2 linked regions of the Mytilus edulis genome follow. The protein of the gene in region 1 binds, or shares a complex with, the protein of each later gene. Links are inferred from orthologs where the notes say so. Each region holds a gene or a part of one and is shown in the gene's direction. Other genes may lie near its edges.

What was found.
Region 2: the proteins of cold shock domain-containing protein E1-like (region 1) and polyadenylate-binding protein 1-like are in contact, whole or in part, in a crystal structure (PDB 7ZHR), measured with the Drosophila melanogaster proteins. The link is inferred for Mytilus edulis from reciprocal best matches to the Drosophila melanogaster genes Unr and pAbp. Residues at the interface, in NP_648226.2 of Drosophila melanogaster: Leu843, Glu844, Thr845, Thr846, His847, Asn848, Gly849, Val850, Glu870, Ile871, Leu872, Asp873, Glu874, Thr878, Val879, Ile880, Ser881, His883, Leu902, Ile907, Asp908; in NP_476667.1 of Drosophila melanogaster: Asn184, Tyr186, Lys188, Ser211, Lys213, Met215, Phe225, Phe227, Ala229, Tyr255, Ala257, Arg258, Ala259, Gln260, Lys261.

What each region holds. Positions count from the first base shown.
Region 1 is NC_092353.1:68,475,210-68,487,757, reverse strand, and holds the start of cold shock domain-containing protein E1-like, read left to right. Parts: upstream 1-6,392; 5' UTR 6,393-6,468; intron 6,469-8,530; 5' UTR 8,531-8,680; coding exon 8,681-8,719; intron 8,720-9,464; coding exon 9,465-9,590; intron 9,591-10,521; coding exon 10,522-10,618; intron 10,619-11,480; coding exon 11,481-11,641; intron 11,642-12,540; coding exon 12,541-12,548. Other genes in the region: charged multivesicular body protein 2a-like, read right to left, coding at 686-747, 3,373-3,503, 4,401-4,580, 5,197-5,377, 6,150-6,163. UniProt on the Drosophila melanogaster protein: RNA-binding protein that acts as a regulator of dosage compensation in both males and females.
Region 2 is NC_092355.1:9,891,121-9,903,433, reverse strand, and holds the start of polyadenylate-binding protein 1-like, read left to right. Parts: upstream 1-7,713; 5' UTR 7,714-7,969; coding exon 7,970-8,174; intron 8,175-9,045; coding exon 9,046-9,239; intron 9,240-11,331; coding exon 11,332-11,447; intron 11,448-12,313.

The sequences.
Region 1 (12,548 bases):
TGTAGGTCTTACTTTGCTGAACATTATTGCTGTTTACAGTTTATCTCTATCTATAATAGTATTCCAGATAATAACCAAAAACTGCAAAATTTCCTTAAAATAACCATTTCACAGGCAGCAACCCAACAACAGGTTGTCCTATTCGTCTGAAAATTTCTAAGCAGATAGATCTTGACCTGATCAACCATTTTACCCCTGTCAGATTTGCTCTAAATGCTTTGGTTTTTGAGTTATAAGCCAAAAACTGCAATTTACCCCTATGTTCTATTTTTAGCCATGGCGGCCATCTTGGTTGGTTTGACGGGTCAAGCCACACATTTTTTAAACTAGATACCCCAAGGATGATTGTGGCCAAGTTTGGTAGAATTTGGCCCAGTAGTTTCAGAGGAGAAGATTTTTGTAAAAGTTTACGGACGACGGACGACAGACGACGGACGACGGACGCAGGACGACGGACGCCAAGTGATGAGAAAAGCTCACTTGACCTTTCAGGTCAGGTGAGCTAAAAATGAGAATTGCTTATGTACATAGTGTAAGCGGGATAAGGGAATCTGACAAAACAGTAAGCGGGATCCGGGATCGGAACCCCCCAATGAGACCCCCTCAGTATCCAATGAAAAATTTGAATCAACAGTAGACAATTGATATATCAGTTGTAAACCTAATTTCAAATAATAGGACATACCTGATAATTCATCTGTCAGTTGTAAACCTAATTCATCTAAAACTTGAGAAACTATAGCATCACTGAAAGAGAAAACATTAAGAAATTGATAGTTTAGAACAACAATTTTAAGTAGTGTGTCCAAATAGGATCAGCATAATTTTTTGGTGAACAAAATACCAAAAGAATGTATGAGGCATGTATATATAAATTAAACCAGATGCTCCCCAGGGCGCAGCTTTATACGACTGCAGAGGTTGAACCCTGAACCATTGGGCCAAGTATGGACACAACATTCAAGCTGGATTCAGCTCTAAATTTGGATTGTGATTAAATAGTTGACACAGCATAGGTTTCTGACACAGAATGAATGTGGTCTAATGAACTTAAAATATTTTTTTTGCCTTTGAGTAATTCACTATGCTGTTGAATATTAACACTCTCAAAAAAATGCTTGAAGAAATTTTCTTTTTATTTATGAAATCTGAAATGAGAAAAATTGAACCCCCCCCCCCCATTTTTTTTCAAATCCCCCTTTCCCTTTTTTCCAAAACTGATCTCAATTCAAATTTCTAATGAAGTTTACAACAATAACTACTCATTTAAATACATCATAAAATATTAAAATGTAAAATAAAGTGCTTGTTATCACTGAATGGTAAAGATTGTTTTAATTTATCAGTTGGTAGTAAAAGTGAATATACATTGTATATTGTATAAAACAATGATTTAAGTTGATTCAACTACTATTCTGGACAAAGAAAGATAACTCCAATAGAAAATTTCTTGCTATTGCACAATATTGTGCAATTAGATATTTCTTGGTATTGCGCAATACTGTGCAATTGAAAATATTTGCTATTGCACAATACTGTGCAATTGAAGATTTCTTGCTATTGCGCAATACTGTGCAATTGAAAATTTCTTGCTATTGCACAATACTGTACAATTGAAAATTTCTTGCTATTGCACAATACTTAATATAATAATTTTGGATCCTGATTTGAACCAACTTGAAAACTGGGCCCATAATCAAAAAGTACATGTTTAGATTCAGCATATCAAAAAAGCCCAAGAATTCAATTTTTGTTAAAATCAAACTTAGTTTAATTTTGGACCCTTTGGACTTTAATGTAGACCAATTTGAAAACAGGAACAAAAATTAAGAATCTACATACACAGTTAGATTTGGCATACCAAAAAACCCCAATTATTCAATTTTTGATGAAATCAAACAAAGTTTAATTTTGGACCAACTTAAAAACTGGGCCAATAATCAAAAATCTACGTACATTTTTAGATTCAGCATATCAAAGAACCCCAAGGATTCATTTTTTTGTTAAAATCAAACTAAGTTTAATTTTGGACCCTTTGGACCTTAATGTAGACCAATTTGAAAACAGGACCAAAAATTAAGAATCTACATACACAGTTAGATTCGGCATATCAAAGAACCCCTATTATTCAATTTTTGATGAAATCAAACAAAGTTCAATTTTGGACCCTTTGGGCCCCTTATTCCTAAACTGTTGGGACCAAAACTCCCAAAATCAAACCCAACCTTCCTTTTATGGTCATAAACCTTGTGTTTAAATTTCATAGATTTCTATTTACTTATACTAAAGTTATAGTGCGAAAAACCAAGAATGCTTATTTGGGCCCCTTTTTGGCCCCTAATTCCTACACTGTTGGGACCTCAACTCCCAAAATCAATCCCAACCTTCCTTTTGTGGTCATAAACCTTGTGTCAAAATTTCATAGATTTCTATTAACTTAAACTAAAGTTATAGTGCGAAAACCAAGAAAATGCTTATTTGGGCCCTTTTTGGCCCCTTATTCCTAAAATGTTGGGACCAAAACTCCCAAAATCAATCCAAACCTTCCTTTTATGGTCATAAACCTTGTGTTTAAATTTCATAAAGTTAGAGAGCGAAAACTAAAAGTATTCGGACGACGACGACGCAGACAACGTCATACCAATATACGACATATATTTACAATTTTTGCGGTCTTATAAAAAGAGAAAAAAATGGAAATAACTTTATTTTACAAGCAGGCCAAAATCTAACTTGAATATTTTGTTTGTTCAATCCTGTGCTCCATGTTTTATTTGACCAAAGGTGTTGGAATTCAGATGATTTCATCAAGGGTTGAAAAATAATAAACAGTCAGCCCCATAAAATAGTAGCTTTTTTTTCCTGTTTTGGGTGTAAATGTCAACACTTCATAAAACTTGTAAGACGTGAAAGAAAAGCATAACAAACATGGTTACATTTCATTTCTTCACATGTTTATGCATAAACTAGAAAGGCTTTTACATAATTCTGCTGTACCTTGCCTTTCATTATTGGTAAGGCTAACATTGGTGTAATATAATTTTTTAGATTAAAAGCCTGAAAATTTCAAATAGCTTCAGGCAATAAAATCAATGTTTAAATTTTTTTATTACTTAAAAATAAACAGCTTTTTCATCAATATGTGCCATCAATGAATAATGTACTTTTAACTTTTAATTCCCATTTGAATGGTTTAACACTAGTAATTTTTGGGGCCCTTTATAGCTTGCTGTTCAGTGTGAGCCTAGGCTCCATGTTGAAGACCTTACCTTGACCTATAATGGTTTACTTTTATAAATTGTGACTTGTATGGAGAGTTGTCTCATTGGCACTCATACCACATCTTCCTATATCTTTTTAATGTCACCATACCTTTCATCTTCATCGTCTTCATCACCCATAGCATCGTCTATAGCATCATTCATCATTTCTTCTTTCATTTCCATTATTTCTGATTGTTTTTCAAACTCCATCATTATCTTCTGAATTTGTGGAAGCTTCAACTGCAGAATTAATACAACGTCTTAATTACTTTGGATGCAATTGAACTCACTAACACCTATGTTCATCCATGATTTCATAATTTATTTGCAATAATAAGGATATGTTATACATGTAAAACCCTTCGACTTTCATTTTGACTTTGTATCTCATTAATTTACATTTTTTAGAAAATAAGTAAGTTTACATATTTCCTTTCTTAATACTATTTAAAAGCAGAATAATACAAATACATGAACGTGGAAAATTAACAGAAAGCGTGAGGATACAAGAAATTCCTCTTGTAATTAAGGTAGTTTGTAATACCTAAAAACTTTTGAATATATTCCTAAATGGAAGTTTTTCTTAAACTTTGCTATTTCACTCAATGTAGGCCAGCAGTATTTATATAATAAACATTTTGAACAAAATTAAGGAGATCGGTGGTTATTTGTCAATGAGACAGCAACCCAATCATAAAACAACCAAAAGACTTCATGATCTAGAGGACAAGAGTCTTCAGCAATAGCTGTCTGTCTAAAAAGTATGTTAAGCACCAAACTTACAAAGTCTATTAAAGTTGTAATAAATATAAAACAACAATCAAAGATATGCTGACAACATTTACAGCCGATTGCATTGAGTGAAGTCATTATTAGGTATGGTAAACAACCCTCCTTTTAGAGTAGACTAGTCCGACAGATAACCATGGACCTATCTATCTGTATGTAGGACTAGACTACTTCGAAAGGAGGGTAGTATACCTTACCTAATATTAACTTACGGTTCAGCTAGCAAGCAAGCTAACCAAAGATATTACCTTTACCTACACACTCAATGCAATCGGCTTTAATTACATTTCACAAAAAACTATTGAGATATATGACATGAGACAACCACCAACATGGTCCCTGGTTTACCTGTTTGTTCATTGTTTGCATGGCTCTTGTAACCCCTTTCATTGCATTGGCCATAGCATTATTTGATTTTAATGTCTGTATTTTTAGTGACACAGCCTGTATGTTTGCTCTCATCAAAATAAACTTCTTCACATAACGTCTTGTTCGAACTAAATCTTTGGCCATAATCTTTACAGCATCCTAAAATAAAGAAACATATAAACATTTATTCCATGAAAATACAAATGGTTATTCTTTTTTCTAAAAAAAACCCAAAACATGGCATACATGTATGAGTAACAAAAATACCTTACAAATATTCTTTCTGAATTGGACTACCATAAAGATATTTTTGCTTCGCCTTGTTGAACCAGAAATATATGACTTAGTTTTGTAAAAGTGTTTTTGATTAGTGATTAAATTGAACCACAGGATTCACTTGTTTTATACATGTACTAACAATGTCGGTTTTCATGTTCAGTCAAATCTTTTGGGTAATTCTACCATTTATTCTTGCATTTATTTTTTCATGAGTATAAACAATTGAATTCTTGTCACACAGAATTGGAAATTTATAAATTGTGATGACACAAATGCATGCTAAGCAGAAAAATACAATGATAAATTAAATTATAGGTAAACAATGGTAAAGGAACATCATCTCCTACACCTGAGCAAGCACTATTTTGATCATATGTAAAATGTCTGAAAATTCTCTTCCTACAATTATTTCACAATTATGCTTGAAAAACAGTTAAACCATTGGAGAATGTGCACATCAACATTAAAGCAGGAAGTAAAATTAAGATGAACAAACCATCTGTCCTTGCTTTGCCATTTTCTTAATATCAGCAATAACTTTCTTCTCTTGTTGTTCCATTTTGGCTTTTTCTCTATCCAGATCTCTCATTGCTTTGGTTAATGCCCTTTGATTCTGTCGTAACATTTCCTCCGGAGTCTTTTTCTTTCCAAAGAGCCATTCTAAAGGCATGTTGACACTGGAAAACAAGTGAAAGTTATGCCTTGTAGATTAAACGCTACAAAATGAGAGTAAATGCAAAAAAGTATTAATTAGGCTTTTGTCAAGAAATTGTAAAGGAAATATGAACCATGATCACTATAAAAACACAGCACCATAGCTGAGTTCAAGCGGATACATTGTCATTGGTAGTGTTGTTTTATTATATTTTATGTTATAACATGCTCACTGGAATTAAAACTTAGTGTGGACAATGAGTCTTTACAGGGTATGAACGATATGTTTCATTGACAATACAATCTATGGATGCCATGGAAATATGGCGGTCACGTCTTGAAAGCTTAAATTAAAATGCTGCAATATTATTTTGATTTTGATCTTGGTCTCTTATCCTCATCCATGTCGACACATGTTTTTTTGTTTGTTTGTGCTATTAAGAATGATTGTGATGTCACAATTTCCATTGAAAAATATATAGTACGAAAATTACGAAATCATATGAGGTACGCAAACTGTCCATTGCTGACCATAAATATGAAGTTTATTGACATTATTGTCACTCTTGTCGTTTCTATGTTTCTGACCCTATCCTCAAATTATTATTCATCAGTTTGGTGAAATAAAAAAGGCTGTTATAAGTTTAATCCCCCATAAATATATCTTCAGAAAAATGCCTGTAACAACTCAAGAATTTGACAGTTCAGTTATAATTTGTTTGACTTCTATGGGAATCAGAATGACACCTCAATTTTGCAGTCAAAATTTTGTGTGTTTATCTTTTACTTCTTAACCATTTGTTCAACATTAATTTTACCTTCTAAATGTGAGTTGTAAGGAATGAGTGACTCTGAGTCAGGAAATTGCTTCAATGTGTATTTTGACAATGACGTCACGGAGAATGTGGTTAGTCTCTAAAACAAAATAAAAGTTATGTTTATGTTTTGCATTTTTGTTTATTTATTTCTCTTTAATGCAAAATCTGTCATTAAAAATATTCTGTAAATAATTCTGTAAAACTGAACAAATAATCTTTCAGTTCTAAAATTTCAATAAATTAATGAGTTCGAGAGTTTGATGGCGGCTATGCTGCAGTGCTGTGCAAAATTTGGGGTAAAATTTCACTTATTATGGTGAATTATGATGGAAGTTTCATTAATAACATAAACGAAATAATAGAAAAACATTCAACGTTTATATTTTTAGTATTTTAGTTGTCCTTTGTAGTGCATAAACCCGTATTTTCAAACCGTCAACGTCAGCTGATGGATTTGCGCAATACGTACTTAGTGCAATAAATTCATGCACCTGGTTTTAACAAATTCATAACCTTAAAATTACGCAATATATTTTTATTATTAGGCGAAAATTGTATATATATCTCACTTTATTTGAAAAATTTATTAAACAGTGTTTTATAGAACCAAATCCTCATGGAATGGGGATTGGTCTTTTATTTGGCTTCTTTTCAAATTAAATAAATCAATAGACTGTGAACTTAAAACATTCTACAATGATATATAGACTGACTTTACATTGTTTTGTTTGATAAACTGTGTTTTACGATTTAATTAAAGTATAATTTACATCCAGTTTAGTTAATACAAGGGACAGGTTCTCCTTCAGGCTACTTCCCATGGCATGGATCATACACCTTATCGCTATTTAGAAATATCTGCCTATAGACCTGAGAATCATACACCAATTGCTTTTCCATTGTGGCTTCAGATATATATTCTATTATGAGTTCAACATTTTACAGTAACCTTTGAGATGTCCAGGAATGGCGGAGAAATAGCTGTAAGGTGTATTCTCATCATCTTTCATGAAGACACTTGTTCCTAAAAATTTTGACGTGAAAAGGCAATTTTAATATTTGCTGTGATGTCTTTCTTTGGTGTCGTTATTATACCCCCGCTTTGAAAAAAAGGGGGGTATACTGTTTTACCTCTGTCTGTCCTTCCATCAGTCTGTCAGTCAGTCCGTCCGTCCCATGAATATTTTTTGTCACATTTTTCTCAGGAACTACACTACCAGGATTTCTGAAATTTGGTTTCAGGCTTGATATAAGACAGCTATACTGTGTGATGCGTTTTCAGATTCATCACTCGACAACTTCCTGTTTACCGAACACTTGTATCAGTTTTACACCTGATAGCCAAGTTGAAAATTTTTCGTCACATTTTTCTCAGGAACTGCACTACCAGGATTTCTGATATTTGGTTTCAGACTTGATATAAGTCAGCTATACCGTGTGATGCGTTTTCAGATTCATCACTCGACAACTTCCTGTTTACCGAACACTTACCATTTTATTTCGTCGCATTTTTCTCAGGAACTGTAATTCTAGGATTTCTGAAATTTGGTTTCAGGATTTATATAAGTCAGCTATACCGTGTGATGCGTTTTTAGATTCATCACTCAACAACTTCCTGTTTACCGAACACTACTATCATTTTACACATGATGGCCAAGTTGAAAATTTTCGTCGCATTTTTCTCAGGAACTACAATGCCAGGATTTCTGAAATTTGGTTTCAGGGTTTATATAAGTCAGCTATACTGTGTGATGCGTTTTCAGATTCATCACTCGGCAACTTCCTGTTTACCGAACACTTAACATTATCCACTTGCGGCGGGGGTATCATCAGTGAGCAGTTGCTCACAGTTACACTTGTTTTTTCTGTTGCGAATTGAATATCAATGAATGGTTTCCTGGATTTCTGACATTCCTTCACTTTAGAATAGTTTAGAATAATTGTTTACTCAGAACTCATTAAAATTTTACAGACTTGAATTTCCAGAACGTTTTGTATATTTTCTGGAAGTTCAGATCTGTCAAAATCAACACACAAATATTAATATTATACAAGATGACAAGTGCATTTCCAAAGTAATATAATAAAAGAAAAAAAATCACCTACCTTCTTGGTACCCAATTTTTTCTGTTAGGAGGCAGGAATCAAGTTTTTATGTATTTTGGTTAATATACATGTACACTGTACCATGTTTTGCACAAAACATCAATCTCGGCTGTTTAACATGTAAATCTTCTTTAGTAAATTGGTGAGTTCAGCTTGAAAATAATTAGGTTATACTTTTTTATTACCAAACAAATAAAACTTAATCAAATAACCAACCCAAAAAAAATCACATTCTTTTTTTTCATATTTTAGCCCATAGATGTAGTACCACCCAGCATCAGAAACTGAGAAAAAAACCAAAACAAACAAAGGAAGAAATAAACAACAAAAGCCCATAAAAGAACTTAACTGCACAGACTGCACTTCTGAGGACTAGGAAACTCCCAAGGAAACAAAACAACTATGTCAGCTGTAAAGAAGTTGAACAGTCCTCAGTGGAAGGCATGTATATTTTAAATTAGTGATTCATTTTGGTCCAAGAAAACATTTATCATCCACTGTGTCAATGTCACTGGCCTGCAGGTAGAGTTTTTATTCCCGATGGTATCACAAGCCCAGTAGTCAGCACTTCTGTGTTCACATGAATTATTGTTGATATCATTGGTGGTCATAATTATAAATTAACTGCTTACAAAACTTTGATTTTTTCAAATACATAGGACTTTCAACCTCGGGAATAGATTAGCAGTAGTTGGCAAAACTTTCAATCCTGGTATCTATGAAGAGTTTTTGATTTTTTGGATGAAAACAAATATAGTTCCTATTATTGAAAATGTGTTACTTGTACATTTTTTACATACAAATTCCAAATGTATAATGCATTTATATAAAATAATAAGTAGAATAGCAGAGGGTTGGGTGAAATTACATTTAAATTTTGGTTTGGAGTTTTAAAGTAAATTAAAGTGATTATTTGGTGGAGTTGAAGAAGATAAAAAAATTATGTCTGAAACTATCAAACTGAATTTTAATTCATATTATTGTCCATATTTTGAGTCTGAGTGGTAGAAAATATAAATTTTATAGTTTTGAAAAAATTGTCTTAAAAGTAGTACACTACACTGTTAAAAGAATTTCACTTTAAAATAAACACAAAAAAAACCCACAACATTTTTAAAACATGTCAAATCTACATGATCTATAACCTGTACAAGAAATTTGATAAAATATGTTTTTGTTATATCAGAATTTCCAGCCGTCCACACAAGATCCTGCAATCGTGTCATTTCAAAGAGCCACAGCACCAGTGATCAATTCACACATCAACAGCAATGGAGTAGGGAGAGAAACAGGATTTATTGAGAAGCTTTTGGTAAATATTTGAATTCATTTAAGGTGGTACCTAACACTACAGGAAGATAACTCTGTAAAATCAGCTAAACGTTTTAATTACGTTGTGTTGTTAAGAGAATATTAAGCTTCTCAATGATCAAAATAAGTGTTTGTCAAACTGCTATATAACCAGTGTAATTTTTCTGATAAAACGGTTGGTTCAAATTTTTTGAAATTTTTATATTTTTGTAAAAGGGTCAAAGTAAATACTTTGTCAAAATTTTAAGAAAATTAAACGACCCAAATTAATTTTAGTGCAAGTGTTGGGTACCACCTTAACAATAATTGATTGATACATTTATGGTGAAATGGTTTCGCATGGAAATAGAAAAAAAATCTTTGAGATCAAGCAATTTGTCAGTATATATAGTTTCATAATTGTGCTGTCCTGAACATGCATTAAATATTTACAGGTGGATGTTAAGCAACCAACAATCAATATTTAAATCATAATTGTGAATTAAATAAAACTTTAAAGGCTTTTATTCATAATATAATAAAAAAAAATGTTTAGTGTATGCCCTTATATTTTTCAGTTATTGGTTGTTTTGCCCGTGAGAGAGCTTTCACATGTTTAAATCTTTGCTTAATTGTTATTTGAATGGAGAGTTGTCTCATTGGCACTCACACCACATCTTCCTATATCTATTAATTTTGGAAGAAATTTTCAGATGAGGTTTTATAAACAGCTTGTAAAAAGTAAAATAACAAAAATACTGAACTCTGACAAATGTCTGGGGAAAATTCAAAACGGAAAGTCCCTAATCAAATGGCAAAATCAAATGTTAAAACATATCAAACGAATGGACAACAACTGTCATATTCCTTACTTGGTCCAGGCATTCTCAAATGTAGAAAATGGTGGATTGAACCTGGTTTTATAGCGCTAACATGTTCTGTTTTACTTTCAGCATTCCTATGGATTTATTCAGTGTTGTGAAAGGGATTCACGACTCTTCTTTCATTTTAGTGAATATGGAGATGATATTAACTTGGTTAAAATTGGAGGTTAGCACTTGTTTTAAACTTTATTATAATTCATCACACTGCTCGCTTTCAGTAATTATGCAGCTTTATTAAGTTCTGTTTTTCTTAGAAAATACTGTGAGGTTTTTATTAATGCAAATTAGTTAGTATGGCAATGATATGGACTTGCATTCTGATATCTGATACACATATCTATCTTAAAGCAGATTTTCCTATATTTTAATGTTTTTTCCATTCTTTAAAAATCACAATAAAGCACTTACTAATGTTTTTTTGAATGCACAGAACTTGATCTGACTTCGGATTTAAAAAAAGACACAGTGTACTGTGTTCCTTCTGTGAAGTTTATGCTAGACATTTACTGTAAATAAAATATTTAAAAGCCTAAGTCGATGCTGTATGATTGCCAATGAGACAACCTTTTATTACAAACCACATGACATGAACAAAATATGAAACAATTCAAATGTGAACACATAAGACCTGCCTTAGCCCATATTCACGACGACTTGATTTATGATTAGCAATACACAAAAAACAAGAATAGTTAACAGTATCCAATGACAACCTCTGAATGAATTTGAACAGGCATGTACAGAATATTTAATTGTTTTCCTATTGAAACATTAATTCTAAAATGTCTTTGAAATCACATGGTCACCATAGCTATTATTTGATAGGACAAACATATATATATATATATTTTGATAAATAAAATCGTTACTATTAACGATAACAATTCTGTCTGATGAACCGCTGGAGATGCGGTGAAAGCGCTAACAGAAACAATGTTCGATTTATGATGTGATTTTTTGTGTTTTTTACTTTTAAATTATATATATATATATATATATAATGATATAATAACTTTCCTATATAACAGACCCGGTAGAGTTCCAGATGACCTATGACCGTAGGACTGGTAAACCGGTAGCAAGCCATATTGTATTGTTAAATTCTGGAAGTCAATCTTATGAAGTTTTGAGTGAGGAGAAGTTTACAGGATCTATTGCACAAGAAGCCAAGCCAACAAAGAACAAAAATGTAAGACTTGTATTTTCAGCCACAAGTAGAGAAGTACCACCCCATGTATTAGTTAGTGATAAGTTCAGTTTGTGGGGAACTGCTAGTGGTAGGACCACTATACTTGATATGCAGTTTTCTTAGCATCTCAATTCCATGGAGACTATTTGGTCCATTCTTTAAGTCATGGTCTATATATTGACTTTGCAACTTATGCTTAGTTTACATGTATTAATTTGTGATTAGGTCAGATTATCAGTACCACTTGTGGTATGTCAATGATTCTTGTATTTGGTATTCTGTTGTATTAGCATTGGCTCATCTGATTTCCATGAAGACTATTTGGCCCACCCCATCAGTCATGGATCGACTTTGAATGTTTTGCATAGGTTACATATATACTTCATGGGGCCATAAAAAAGAATAGATTTGTTTGCCCAAACCCTACCTACCCAGAAAAAAGCTGCCTACTCAAATTCTTTTATTGTCCTGATTTGAAGAAGTTTTTTTTTTATCAGAAAGGCATGAAGACTAATAAACACCCCATACTTGAAAAGAAAGAAAAAGAAAATGCCTACCTACCTACCCACTCTCTCAACCTTTGGGTAGGGTTTGGGCAAACCAAAATATTTTTTTAATTGTGGCCTGGTTGGATTAGTTTAAGAGATACCAATGATACTTGGTATGCAGATGTATTATCATTTTCAATTCTCATTTCCATGGAGGATATTTGGAACTGCACCTTCAGTCTTGGTTAAGTAACTTTGAATGTTCTGCATAGTTTAACATGTTAAAATATTGGTGTTTTAATTACAACATTTGCATTTTGCTATCAAAATTTAAAAAAATAAGACATATCTCTGTGTCAACAGTTTATAATAATGAAAATTTTTTTTTTTTAATTTTTTTTCTAATTACAGGGTTATGC
Region 2 (12,313 bases), on another chromosome or scaffold:
TAGTAGATGTATTCTATTTGTCTATCGCGTAGATCATGAATTTCATTTGCGGGATAGTAGTACAACAAAGCAGTTATTAATGATATGTTAATAGCTACATGTATATATTAAGAGAATTTCCATTATACTGGACTACCGATATTAGCTATCACCCATTGCCTATTATTTTTTGTTTAAATCACCACCAACTTAAAATGTGTTCAATTTGCCTTTCCCTCTTTATCCACCCGTCCATCACACTTCAGTTTCAGTTTAGAAATGCATTGACCAAATAATTCTATTATTGGTTTGTTAATATTATGTTACGGGTCAATTTTGTGATTCAAGCTGGTGGAATAACATCTCAGACGGATGTGTGCCATAAGAAATTACGAATTGTCTTACGTTTGTTAGGGCCATATATATCTTGCCTTTCCATAAGCCAGGTTGGCCCGGCTTTTGCAATCCCATGAAGTTCATCACCTGTCAACCTTAAACCAGTTGCTCCACAGAGCACACCTTTATACGACCGCAGAGTCCGAATCCTGAACAGTATGGACACAACATTAAACCTTGATACAACTCTGAATTTGGATTGCGAATAGTTGACACAACATAGTTTTCTGACACAGAATGAATGTGGTCTAAGAACTTAAACTTACCTATTATGGTCCAATATCCCAATTCTAAATACATGGTTAGATTCATCATATCAAAGAACCACAAGAATTCATTTTTTGTTAAAATCAAAGTAAATTTAATTTTGGACCCTTTAGACCTTAATGTAGACCAATTTGAAAACGGGACCAAAAATTAAGAATATGCATTCACAGTTCAGATTCGGCATACTAGTATTTAAGAACCCCAATTATTCAAGTTTAATTTTGACCCTTTTGGTCCCTAATTACTAAACTGTTGGGACCAAAACTCCCAAAATCAATCCTAACCTTCCTTTATGGTCATAAACCTTGTGTTAAAATTTCATAGATTTCTATTTACATATACTAAAGTTATGGTGCGAAAACCAAGAAAATGCTTAATTGGGCCCCTTTTGGCCCCTAATTCCTAAACTTTTGGGACCAAAAACTCCCAAAATCCATCCCAACCTTTCGTTTGTGTTCTTAAACATTGTGTTTGAATTTCATATATTTCTATTTACTTATACTGAAGTTATTGTGTGAAAATCAAGAAAAATGTCTAAATGGGCCCTTTTTTGGCCCCTAATTCCTAAACTATTGGGACCAAAACTCTTAAAATCAATCCCAACCTTCTTTTTGTGGTAAATAACCGTGTGTATAAATTTCATAGATTTCTATTAACTTTAACTAAAGTTAAAGTGCGAAAACCAATGATTCTTCGGACGACGAAACGCAATTATCTTTTAAGTATCTACTAATGTATGCAACATTTAAACAAATCAACTTATACCCTCCCCCCCATTCTCCAAAGCCCCCCCCCCCCCCCCCCCAACCCTAATGTTTCATGACATATTACATTTATTGAACAATCTGAAGAAAAAATTCCAGACAAGACTGTGAGTGAAGCAAAGACTTTTTTGAACGCTTTATTTATATGTTTTTTGTACATAAATTTCTATTTATGCAGGTTTTTGGTGGATGATGCTATGGATAATATGTCTTTCCGTGGTAACAATTGAAGTCAACAACACTTAACGATTGCTATTTAAAGTTTTCGTTAGCTTTTATGTATTTTTCTTATCGGTTATGAAAAATTCAGGACATTTAAGCTCTTAAACTGCAATATTCTGCAAATGAAAACTCCGTTTCCAAGGAAAAAATCGGTTGCTATGGTGATAAAACTAAAAAAAATCCCACACATTTTTCTATTAAATTTGGTAAAGTAGTATCCAAACTTCATAACTACAGTGCTAACTATTCTGTACACATTTGCACTTTTCTGAAAAACACCAGAGAAAATGTGGTAATTCAGCAAAAATCCCAATTTCAGAAAAGTTGAAAATATGCATTTTTTCACAAAATTTTACCAAAAAATTACAAATTTGGCTGACATGCAATCTTCACTAAAATGAAGCTTAAACCAAGTTCTATCAATGTTATATATGAAAATTAATGAAAAATGCATGATTGTATTCATATTCAGGCTCTGAAATGTGGTGATTTCGCTGATTTTTGAAAGATTTTACAACGCTTAACAACCAAAAAATTGTGTGTCTGTTACCATGGCAACCACTCATATTTTCCCACTCAAAATTATTTTTTAAGCGTTTTTCACGTATTGCTTCTACTAGGCCAAATATAGATAAAATCTGAAACCCCCCATGTATCACATGTATATGGCACACTGCCTGGTTCTTATAAAGAGCTGTACTTAACACTATATTAATGAAACCCGTTGGATATAAGATATGTGAACGGATTGATAAAAAGTTCCAGGTTAGGGTGGGGTTGACGCCAACAAACTAGTTTAGCTCCGCCACATTCTGTATCATGCGCCTGTCCTAAGTCAGGAACCTGTAAATGACCTTTAGTTTTCTGGTTTGAATTTCTTTTAACATGACATTTCGGGGCCTTTTATAGCTGACTATGTGGTATGGGCTTTGCTCATTGTTGAATGTCTTACAGTTATTAAATTATGCATCATTTGGTCTATTGTAGTGATTTGTCTCATTGGAAATCATGTCACATCTTCTTTTTATATCAACTGTAAAGGTTAAAAATGTATATACAAAGACAAATAAAAGGAACATCATAGCAGGTATTTAAGATGATAAATCAGCCTAGAATACTGACTTCAAGATCTAGACCATCATGTATTGTTTATGAAGTTGATACGGAATATCTATCAACAAGTTGAAGGCTTTGGTTTCGTCCAATGAACTTTTTTCGATAAAGCACGATACATTCTTTGACATAATCCTGGTTTGTCAGCTTTGTGCTCATGCACTTGTGACGTTTTATAAAGTCTAAGTAGCAGCTGCAAGCTCTTAAATACCAAACGAGTTGTGAAAGCTGGTGAAGCGCCGTTAAGATGTCAGTTGAAATACCTCACCCCTTGTATTTATTAGGTATATATATTTTTGTTAGTTGCGAATTGATATTTGTATCAAGTTGAACCAATTCTTTCAATCTGTCTTACGATCAGAAGAAAAGTACAAATAACACATCATAGTCATAAAATTTTAGTCTGGGCAACACAGACACCACTCAATAAAATTGAGAATGGAAATGGGCAACAACCCGACCATAGAGCAGACAACAGCCGAAGGTAACTAATGGGTCTTCAATGTAGCTGGCCCCTATACAACTATGCATACTATTTCAGTGATAATGGACGTCATACTAAACTCCGAATTATACAAAAGAAACTAAAATTAAAAATGATACTAGACTAACAAAGGCCAGAGGTTACTGACTTGGGACAGGCGCAAAATTGCGGCGGGGTTAAACATGTTTTTTTTTGGAGATCTCATCTATCGTCTATATACCTCTAGCCAATGTAGAAAAACAAACGCACAACAATAAAACCGGAATGAAAACCATTGAAAATTATAAGATTTTTTGGAAATTAACACTACACAGTAAGCCATCTTGCAACCTTTCATAATTTTCATTAAAATTAAAAAATATATCCATAAATTCTTAAAGGAACCACAAAAATAGTCTAAGCCTTTTATTGAGTAATGAAATGCTACCCTTCCAAACCGATGTAAACAAATGCCAGTTCCAAGCCTTCTTTACATTTTCAAGTGAGAGGTTAAGCAAGCTATAAGTCATACAAGGCCAGGTTTAATCCACATAAAAAAATGCCGGTACCAAGTCAGGAATATGACAGTTGTCATGAAAGGTTGGCCCAAAAGGAGGGTGGAGGTGCCGGGTCCATTATGTTGGAAACATTTGTTTGATTACATAGGGAATCACAGAGGCATGGCTGGAGCAGCCCACCCTTAGGAAAGTCAGTGGGTACCCCTTATAAAAAGTTCCGGATTCGCCTGGTTGTTGTGATATCCATTCCTTTGGTGTGTTTCAGCTTTTGATTTTGCCGTTTGATGAGGGGGCAATAGGGTTAACAACACCTCAATTTTGACAAAAATAATTAACAAAAAATTTAAAATGCTGAGTACAGTTAACACCAGCTTTAATCTACACTTTTTTCCCAAATAAACACAAAAGCAATGAAAAGGGGAAATGCACACCTTCAATGAGTTCAGAACCACTGTACAAAGTGGCAGAAATGCAAAGACCTAATGAATCTTTAATAAAGATGATAAAGTTTCAGGTTGCACACAACTACCATTTCTTTTATGCTGGACACATGAACAGACAATTGAACGGATCGAAAGGCAGACGGAGTGCTAGAAAAATGACTATACGCAGTCATGAAAGGCCTCACCAGCCATGCATATTCCAATTTTTCAGACATGAATTATCGATTCTCTGGTTATGTGTATTTTTGTGTTTACGTTTTATTTCAATCAGTTGAAGCAAACCTTGGTAATCGTGCAACGTATGAAAGTGTGACAGACAGACAGAGTTATTACAATAAGGTCTAACCATTATGGTTGGGACCCTAATAAATTATGGGTACATATCGGTGTATTCATACGACTCGTAGCTTATAAGCTTTTATAAAAATGAATTGAAAAGATTACTGATTTTTATTGCAAATAATTAAAATCAATGTATAAATCACCAAGTACCCTGTAAGGTGTCACAAGATTCTTCCATCTAAACGTCCCAAGAACTTATAGCTTATATAGAAAAAGACTTTTGTCCATCTTCACATTTCTGAAGGTAGCAAGTTTGGCATCAATTTGAGAACCAAGTCCTGATGTGTCTGCCTCTTCTAACAGGTCTCACTGTTCAATTATTTTTCGAATTGCAAATTCAAACAGTACAGTTTATTTTTCCGACACAACTCCATTACGGTGCTCTGGGTCAATGTAACTTATCACACTTTCTGTATCATCTTGAATGATTTTATCTTGGGACTGACCAGGGTTTTAGCTGGGTGTGAAGTGGCCCCTGCTGTTAACTTTGGATCAATTATTAATAGGAGACAGAAATGAACTACATGGGACCCGGTTAGAAGTATAGGGGGAGCGTTGATATGTTAACAATTTTGTGGAACCTCAGCCATATATACCTCTTGATTTTTTTGTCAATTTTGATTCGTTTCGGACTTTATTGTAGTGAAGTCCATTTTATATGAACTAGTTACCCGGGTATTCCCTTCTTGCTTGAATTTAAAATGATTGCTCTCTTAAAATCAGCTTCTGGCGTAGGATTCTCTCGTTGTGTTGAAGACTCGTTTTAGTTTTGCCATGGGCTGTTTTCTGACTCTTTTGGCGGGTTGTTGCTTCTGAGACATTCCCCCGATTTCCATTCTCAATTTTATCAAGGATTACTATAAATCTCAAAGATCTCCAAATTAAGACAGTACTTAACATATTAGAGGGGGGATAGGAGGGGTCCTGATCCCGAAATCCCGGAGTTAAAAACACCGCGAAATCCCGAAATCCCGGGCTTAAAAACATGAAATCCCGAGGTCCCGAAATTCGAAAAAAAGAATTCCCGGATCCCGAAAGGGTCAATCCCGAAATCCCCAGCTTAAAAACACCCGATCCCGGAGTCCCGATAAAGGTCCTATCCCCCCTATATTAGTCCAAATAATTATGACTTCTTGAAAGGATAAAAATTATATTTAATGTGATTAGTTTGAATCTTAACTTTGACATTCTTGTAAATAACAGTGAAGATCAGTTCACAGAGACAAATTATGTCAAAAACAGTGAACACTTTAACAGTTTAAGTGTCAAGTAACATATTTATAACAGGAGTCCCATTTTCAATAAAAAAAGCAGAACAGATAACAGACAGTGGGTTAGAAACAGTTAACTATTCAATTTTATCTCAAATAACCGCAGTTAACAACACCTTAAAAAAGGTCAAAACAGGTTAACATAAAAAGGTATTACCCTCCTTTTTGATTAGCCCATACACGTAGCCAGGGGAGGGGGATTCGGACGACCCTCACCCTTGAAAACAAATAAGTTATAGTTATTGACCAAGCAAGTCGGTATATAGAATTTAATCTGCACAGCTCAGGTGACCCTTATCCCGAACGACGTTTTAGATGTGGACGATTTTTTTTTATTTAATAAGTGACGATTAAGACTTTGACAATTTGAGTACCTTCAAATCGTTGTATGAAGAAAAAAAATCATAACTGAAAGGGTTATTGAGTTTAGGTTAATTGCTTTTGAATATCTTTCCATCAATGATGTGCTTTAAATAATAGAGAAAGATAAACCGAGGAAGATGTTATATTACCTAAATTTTAAATGTTGAATAAACAGAAAATACGTTTTTCTTTCCAATCTTTTCCTCCCCCTCCCCCAAATTTCTTTGTATCTACTGTATTAATTTTTAAGACACGTCCATCTAAATGAAGTCTGATTGATCTCCAGCTAGGAATAGATATTGAAAAAGTCGTTATATTAAATTCCATTGAGTCTAAAACTAATCCAAATCAGATTTCTTTTATTCGGATATTCTTAGATTCATTTCGAATTCTTTTTTGGCGGAAATGACCAAACATTGTTTTAACTCTCTTTCTGACTTTAAAACACTGATTTAAGATTTATGTTTTACGCAAAATATAATAAAAATTTTATGTTCAAGCTAAGATGAAAAAAAAAAGGAATGAGAAACCTTTCTTTTTTCCTATTTTGAAACTACGATGTTTGTACAAAGTTAAATTTTGTCGCAATTTCAAGGCAGAAGTCGGATTCGGGGGTGGGGACGAACATGTCGTTCACCCTAGGATTCACGGGACAAAGTATCGTGTTTTGCCTTAAAATCGTCAATATTGTTTTAGTCTCGCTACACTCGGTGATATATTTTTTTAATTTGATAGAATAACGCCCCTGTCAACATCTAGGAACCGCCCCTAAAGGTAAAAATATATTTGAACTGTGCAGTATATCTGAGGTAGTTAATGCACACCTTTGCTGTGCATTATCCAGATTATAGTACAGTAAGAACAAAGAGATTTTGCCCATGTCATGTGTTAAGCACTGTTAAAGTCAACGTTCTGTTCGAATTGTGACTGTTAAAGTTGAGTTCGCGAGTCCAAATAATCCCCCTTTGGAAATTCCTGGCTGTAGACTTTCCGTTTTTAATTTTCCATGGAGTTTAGCATTTTTGTGATTTTTTTTATTCCAGTTCTTGCAGATTAAAAAAAAAAACCAGTTAAAACCAAGTTTAAAGATCTTTAAAAAAAACTTTTTTTTTACTTCTAATTTTGCAATTTTGCATTGATTCATGTTCCACTTATTACATAATGTATGTCAACATCTAACAACTCCCCACGGTAAATGTTGGTGGTCGATTAACTCATTGACCACAAACAATAGGGACCAGGATGAAAAGATTGACATGCTATTAAAAATGTTAAATAAAATTGCGTCATATACATGACCGTAAAACACGTGGATTAAAAGGGAGATAACTCTAATGAATCGGCGTAGTAATATTACACGTCACAATTTGAAAAAAAAATTGGTGGAAATTCTTTGGAAATTTTCCTTCAATAAAGAATAATTCTTCATACTGAGTACAAAAATAAAAGTTTACGTTTCGAAAATTATTGAAAGAGTAGAAAATGATAACTTGCCAGTGGTTTAATGATATCGATTTCGTTTCGATATTCTTGGATTATTTGAGTGTAGGATTATCCGGTTTCAAATGATATATAGATCGCGGCAATTTACCTCTCCTATCCCTCTTCTCAAATCGTGAGGTTGCCGTGTGTTGTGTGCGAAAAGTTGTCTCACACAACACTTAAACTGGAAGAAATTAAGCTAAAAAACTTTTAAAAAATACAAAAAAATTGAAAAAGTAACAAAACTATTAAAAAAACTACTGAAACGGTAGGTTTGTGATAGAACAGAAGCGAAAACAACTTATTTCTTCTAGCAATCAACAGCGCCATATTTTAACCTCTGAAAATGACGACTAATATCAATCCGGCTGGAGCAAGTTACCCAATGGCTTCATTGTACGTAGGAGATCTTCACCCAGATGTCACCGAAGCTATGTTGTTTGAGAAATTTTCAACAGCAGGTCCAGTCCTCAGTATCCGTGTCTGTAGAGATATGATCACAAGACGTTCACTTGGTTATGCTTATGTCAACTTTCAGCAGCCAGCAGATGGTAAGATATCCAAAGTTGTATATCTGATAACACATTTACATTTCCATGTATTCAAATTGTGATCATTCATACATTTCAATTTCACAGTCCTTAGACCAGACACATGACAGATTGTCAGTGGCAATTAAGTCAATGTACCTCCGACCTACATTTTTTGTACTCTCACATGTTTAAAAAAAAAAGTAGAATTAAAATTCAAACCCACTTAAACAATACCATTATCACAAACATAAGTCTCAAGTTAAGGTGGTCCAATTGCCCTGATGAGTTAATGCCGTATTCAGACAAGTAAAAACATCATCTTGGTTGTCAGATCAAGCTAGAAGTGTTACATGATTAAAATTTCACAAAATCAATAGTGTCTGCTGTTTAGTACATAGATAACTAGGTGATGACACTGCACGGTCTTAACCCCTTCAAATCACGAATGCATATTTTTCGTTTTTTGTTCGCACTGAATCTTCCATTTTTCCAAAAATAAATTATGTTTAAAAACACTGGCCAATCAGCTGCTGTGGCGTTGCTTTGTCATTATTGTTTTCATTCAAGACACCACTTAGGCCTTTCCGACCAACATATTTTTCCAACTGACCGTTGGAAAGCGGACTTCTATTTTCGTTGTTCTAATTTGGAATTTTAAAGTTGGAAGTACATGTACCTTAAAAAAATATTTCATTGACAAACTGTTTTCACTAACAAGAATAAATTTATATGTCATGTGTACGTACAAAATGTAAAATTCAAGGTTTTTATAAACTTGTAAAAACTAATACAAATGTACATGTTATCAGGTTTGATTGTGAATGTCTTTTCTGAAATTGAATCTTGACACAAAATATGCAGGCTGAACATACTCGTGTATCTTTTGCAGCTGAGAGAGCTCTTGACACAATGAACTTTGACACCATCAAAGGTCGACCAATAAGAATCATGTGGTCACAAAGAGATCCATCTCTGAGAAAATCTGGTGTTGGCAACGTATTCATCAAGAATCTTGACAAAAGCATTGACAATAAGGCATTATACGATACATTCTCTGCCTTTGGAAATATTTTATCCTGTAAGGTAAGAAAACTGTTAAGTAATGGATTTTATTTTTGTTGACAGGTGAGAGTAAAAAAATTATGTTGTGAAAATTGAAGGCAGGGGCGGATTCAGGAATTTGGAAAGGGGGATGCGAAGTTGTTAAAGATTGCCAAGCGGAGCGAGTCGAAAAAATTTTGGGATCTTTTTTTCCGTTAAAAAACATGAAATAAGGAGTATAAAAAATTGTCCAACCCTTACACTTTACCGCTACTATAGAATATACATGTACATGCCCCACGTCAGGAACCGTTTAAAAAGTGCATTTTACACTGTTTTCTCCCTGTTAATTGTCTATCATAAAGATAATGATAGTATATGGATTCAAAGCTACGTACTTATATATTTGATGTGGGACTTGTCAGTAAAAAATAAACATGAAACACTCCGGGCTATTTGATGAAATTAACAATTCTACCGACACAAGTTAAAATAGTCAAACAAGCAATCTTTATCCAAATGTTTGGTTGATATATTTCACCCAACAAAATTAAGGGAAGTGAGGGGTTCCAAAATAAACCAAAGGTTACAAATGAGTCTGAAATGATAACTAATTTATGAATGACGGTCGACAAATTTAGACATAAAGGCCTCACTCAGCAAGCAGATTGCAGTCTGGTCTTGAAAGTATTCAATATATCAGCTCGGCTAAACAGACGTTCAGGTCAGACATGCAAACCCTGACCTAAAAAAAATACATTTTTATTCATTATGTTCATTTAATGCTAAATAATTCTGTTGGAAATTTCCATTTCTAATATCTCACAAAAGTTGACAAGATTATTGTTTTCAGTTCAGATACGACCAGAATTCTTATTTAATTCACAAATCAGAGTCAATTTTTTTTCTCTCAAATACCTTGGACTGCCTCCTCATATCTGATGGTTTGTACCTTCGACTTTAAATCTATATATAGAGCTTATATTGACTGGGGAACATAATTTAGCTATCATGTCATTTTAAAATAGGCTTGGGCATTTGGGATTAAGCATGTTTTCGTAGGTAAATAATATTGCTGTGGATTTTTTTTTGAGTGTGTGTTAGAGTATTACTTTCTGTTTGGTTGAATTGTGAAACAGAAGTCACAACGTTCTTGCTCAATCCTGCGCCGCTTTGAAGGTATCATGGTTGTCATTCTTAGCTTTTAAAGCAATGTGTAACTGTAATTTGAATTTCAAAATGACCGAGTGACGTTTTATTTTTTATTTTTGACACAGCAGTGAACTCCACCATCATGATCATAGCAAATAACATGACTTTGACATGATTAGTAATTATCCGAGACAAATATCTTTATAAGTAAAGAATTGTCGCTTGAAAATCAAATACACGGGAAATGGCAAAGTTCACGAAGTCTAGTCTAATTAATCATTTTACAAAAAAAAAAAGCAAAGGAAGGGGGGGGGGGTGCCCTCTATGCCCCCCTCTTGATCCACCATTTCAATAGGTGGGTATCTCCACAGATAAAAATGACTAAGAACCATGTTACATGAACACAAAAAAAATTAAAATGAAAAAATAAGGCCGTCTAAATATAAAGATCTTTGTAAAATAAAGGAATTTATCACAGGAATTTATCACAGGCATTTGTTTCTGTCAAAAATTTTCAATGTGTTTGCTTCAACCGATATTTATTAACTTTCCCTTGCATTTTTCATGCATAGTTAAACATACACCAGTTTGTGGGTAATTGATTTATCTCTGCAACAAAACATGGTTCATGTCCCTTGAGAAAACCCCTCAAACAGAGTAACACACTTATGTCGAAAATTATTGACCTTTTCCAGACCATTGAATTTTTAATTCCAAAACTTCTGGTTAACTTCAGAAGTTTATAATATCACCTTGCAACCCCATTGGTCACATTTTCTAGTTACTGGTAACTAGTATAATTAAACAGGTAACCAGATTAATTTGACTAATCAGATTGCACAATCATATTAACTTCCTAAGTTGACCAGAAGTTTTGGAGTTACAAATTCAATTTTCTCGAAAAAGGTCAATAATTGAATAACTTTCGTTATACATGCGTTATTCTGTTACTATATGTAAGTTTTGGAACATTTATTTTTAGATTGTCTGTGACGAGCATGGATCACGTGGATACGGATTTGTACATTTTGAGACTGAGGAAGCCGCCAGAAATGCTATTGAAAAAGTAAACGGCATGTTGTTGAATGGAAAGAAAGTGTAAGTTTTCTTTGTAATCATTGGTTGTGTATAGAGTATATAAATGCGAAAATTAAAAGCTCAGTTTGAAAAAGTTGAAAACTTGTGCTTTTGATTTCTTCATTATTATGCCCCTTTGTACTTGTACATAGGGCCAATTAAAATTAAATGGTAGATTTTCATCCCCGCCCGCCCCTTTGAAATCTTCCCGCCCCGATTTTTTTTATTTTTGAAAAAAATACGATTTCCGGATTTTGTTCATTTCCGATACCAGTATAAACCGTCGATAATTTCGTTTCATCTAAAACTTCCTGTTTCAGATTTCGGTTTTCGTATTTCTTAGCGTATTCTTACTGAATGATTCAGTCGATATATTCTGCTGATCTTTGATGACAACATCATTTACCGAGAATAGAGATTGATTACGAGAAGGGCTTGAAATATTCGGGTTACAAGTAATACGCTGTGCCCAAGAACGCAAATCGCCGTATGTCACACATGTTTGTGAGTAAAACAACTTGGATTTATTTTATTAAATGACTTTGTGTGAAGAAATTTGGACTGTGAATAAAACACAAAAACGTTAGAATCGTTGAACACATTTGACTGGAATAAAGAAATTAGCACAAGCATGAACCTTTTAGATTGGTGACCGTACATTGAGTTAAACAAATCGACAAACATATGCATTTTTAATTTATTAATTGATAGCAAGCTCTTAGATTTAGATTTAGCCTTAGTTTCGTTTTTTTGCAGAAATAGAGAAAACATCCTCTGTCCCAATACCCACGATAGAGTCATTAAACAACTTTATTTTCTACATTGTAATTATATTTGCATCTTGCATATTAAGGACCAATCCTATTATTTAAACACTGTTTGAGTTT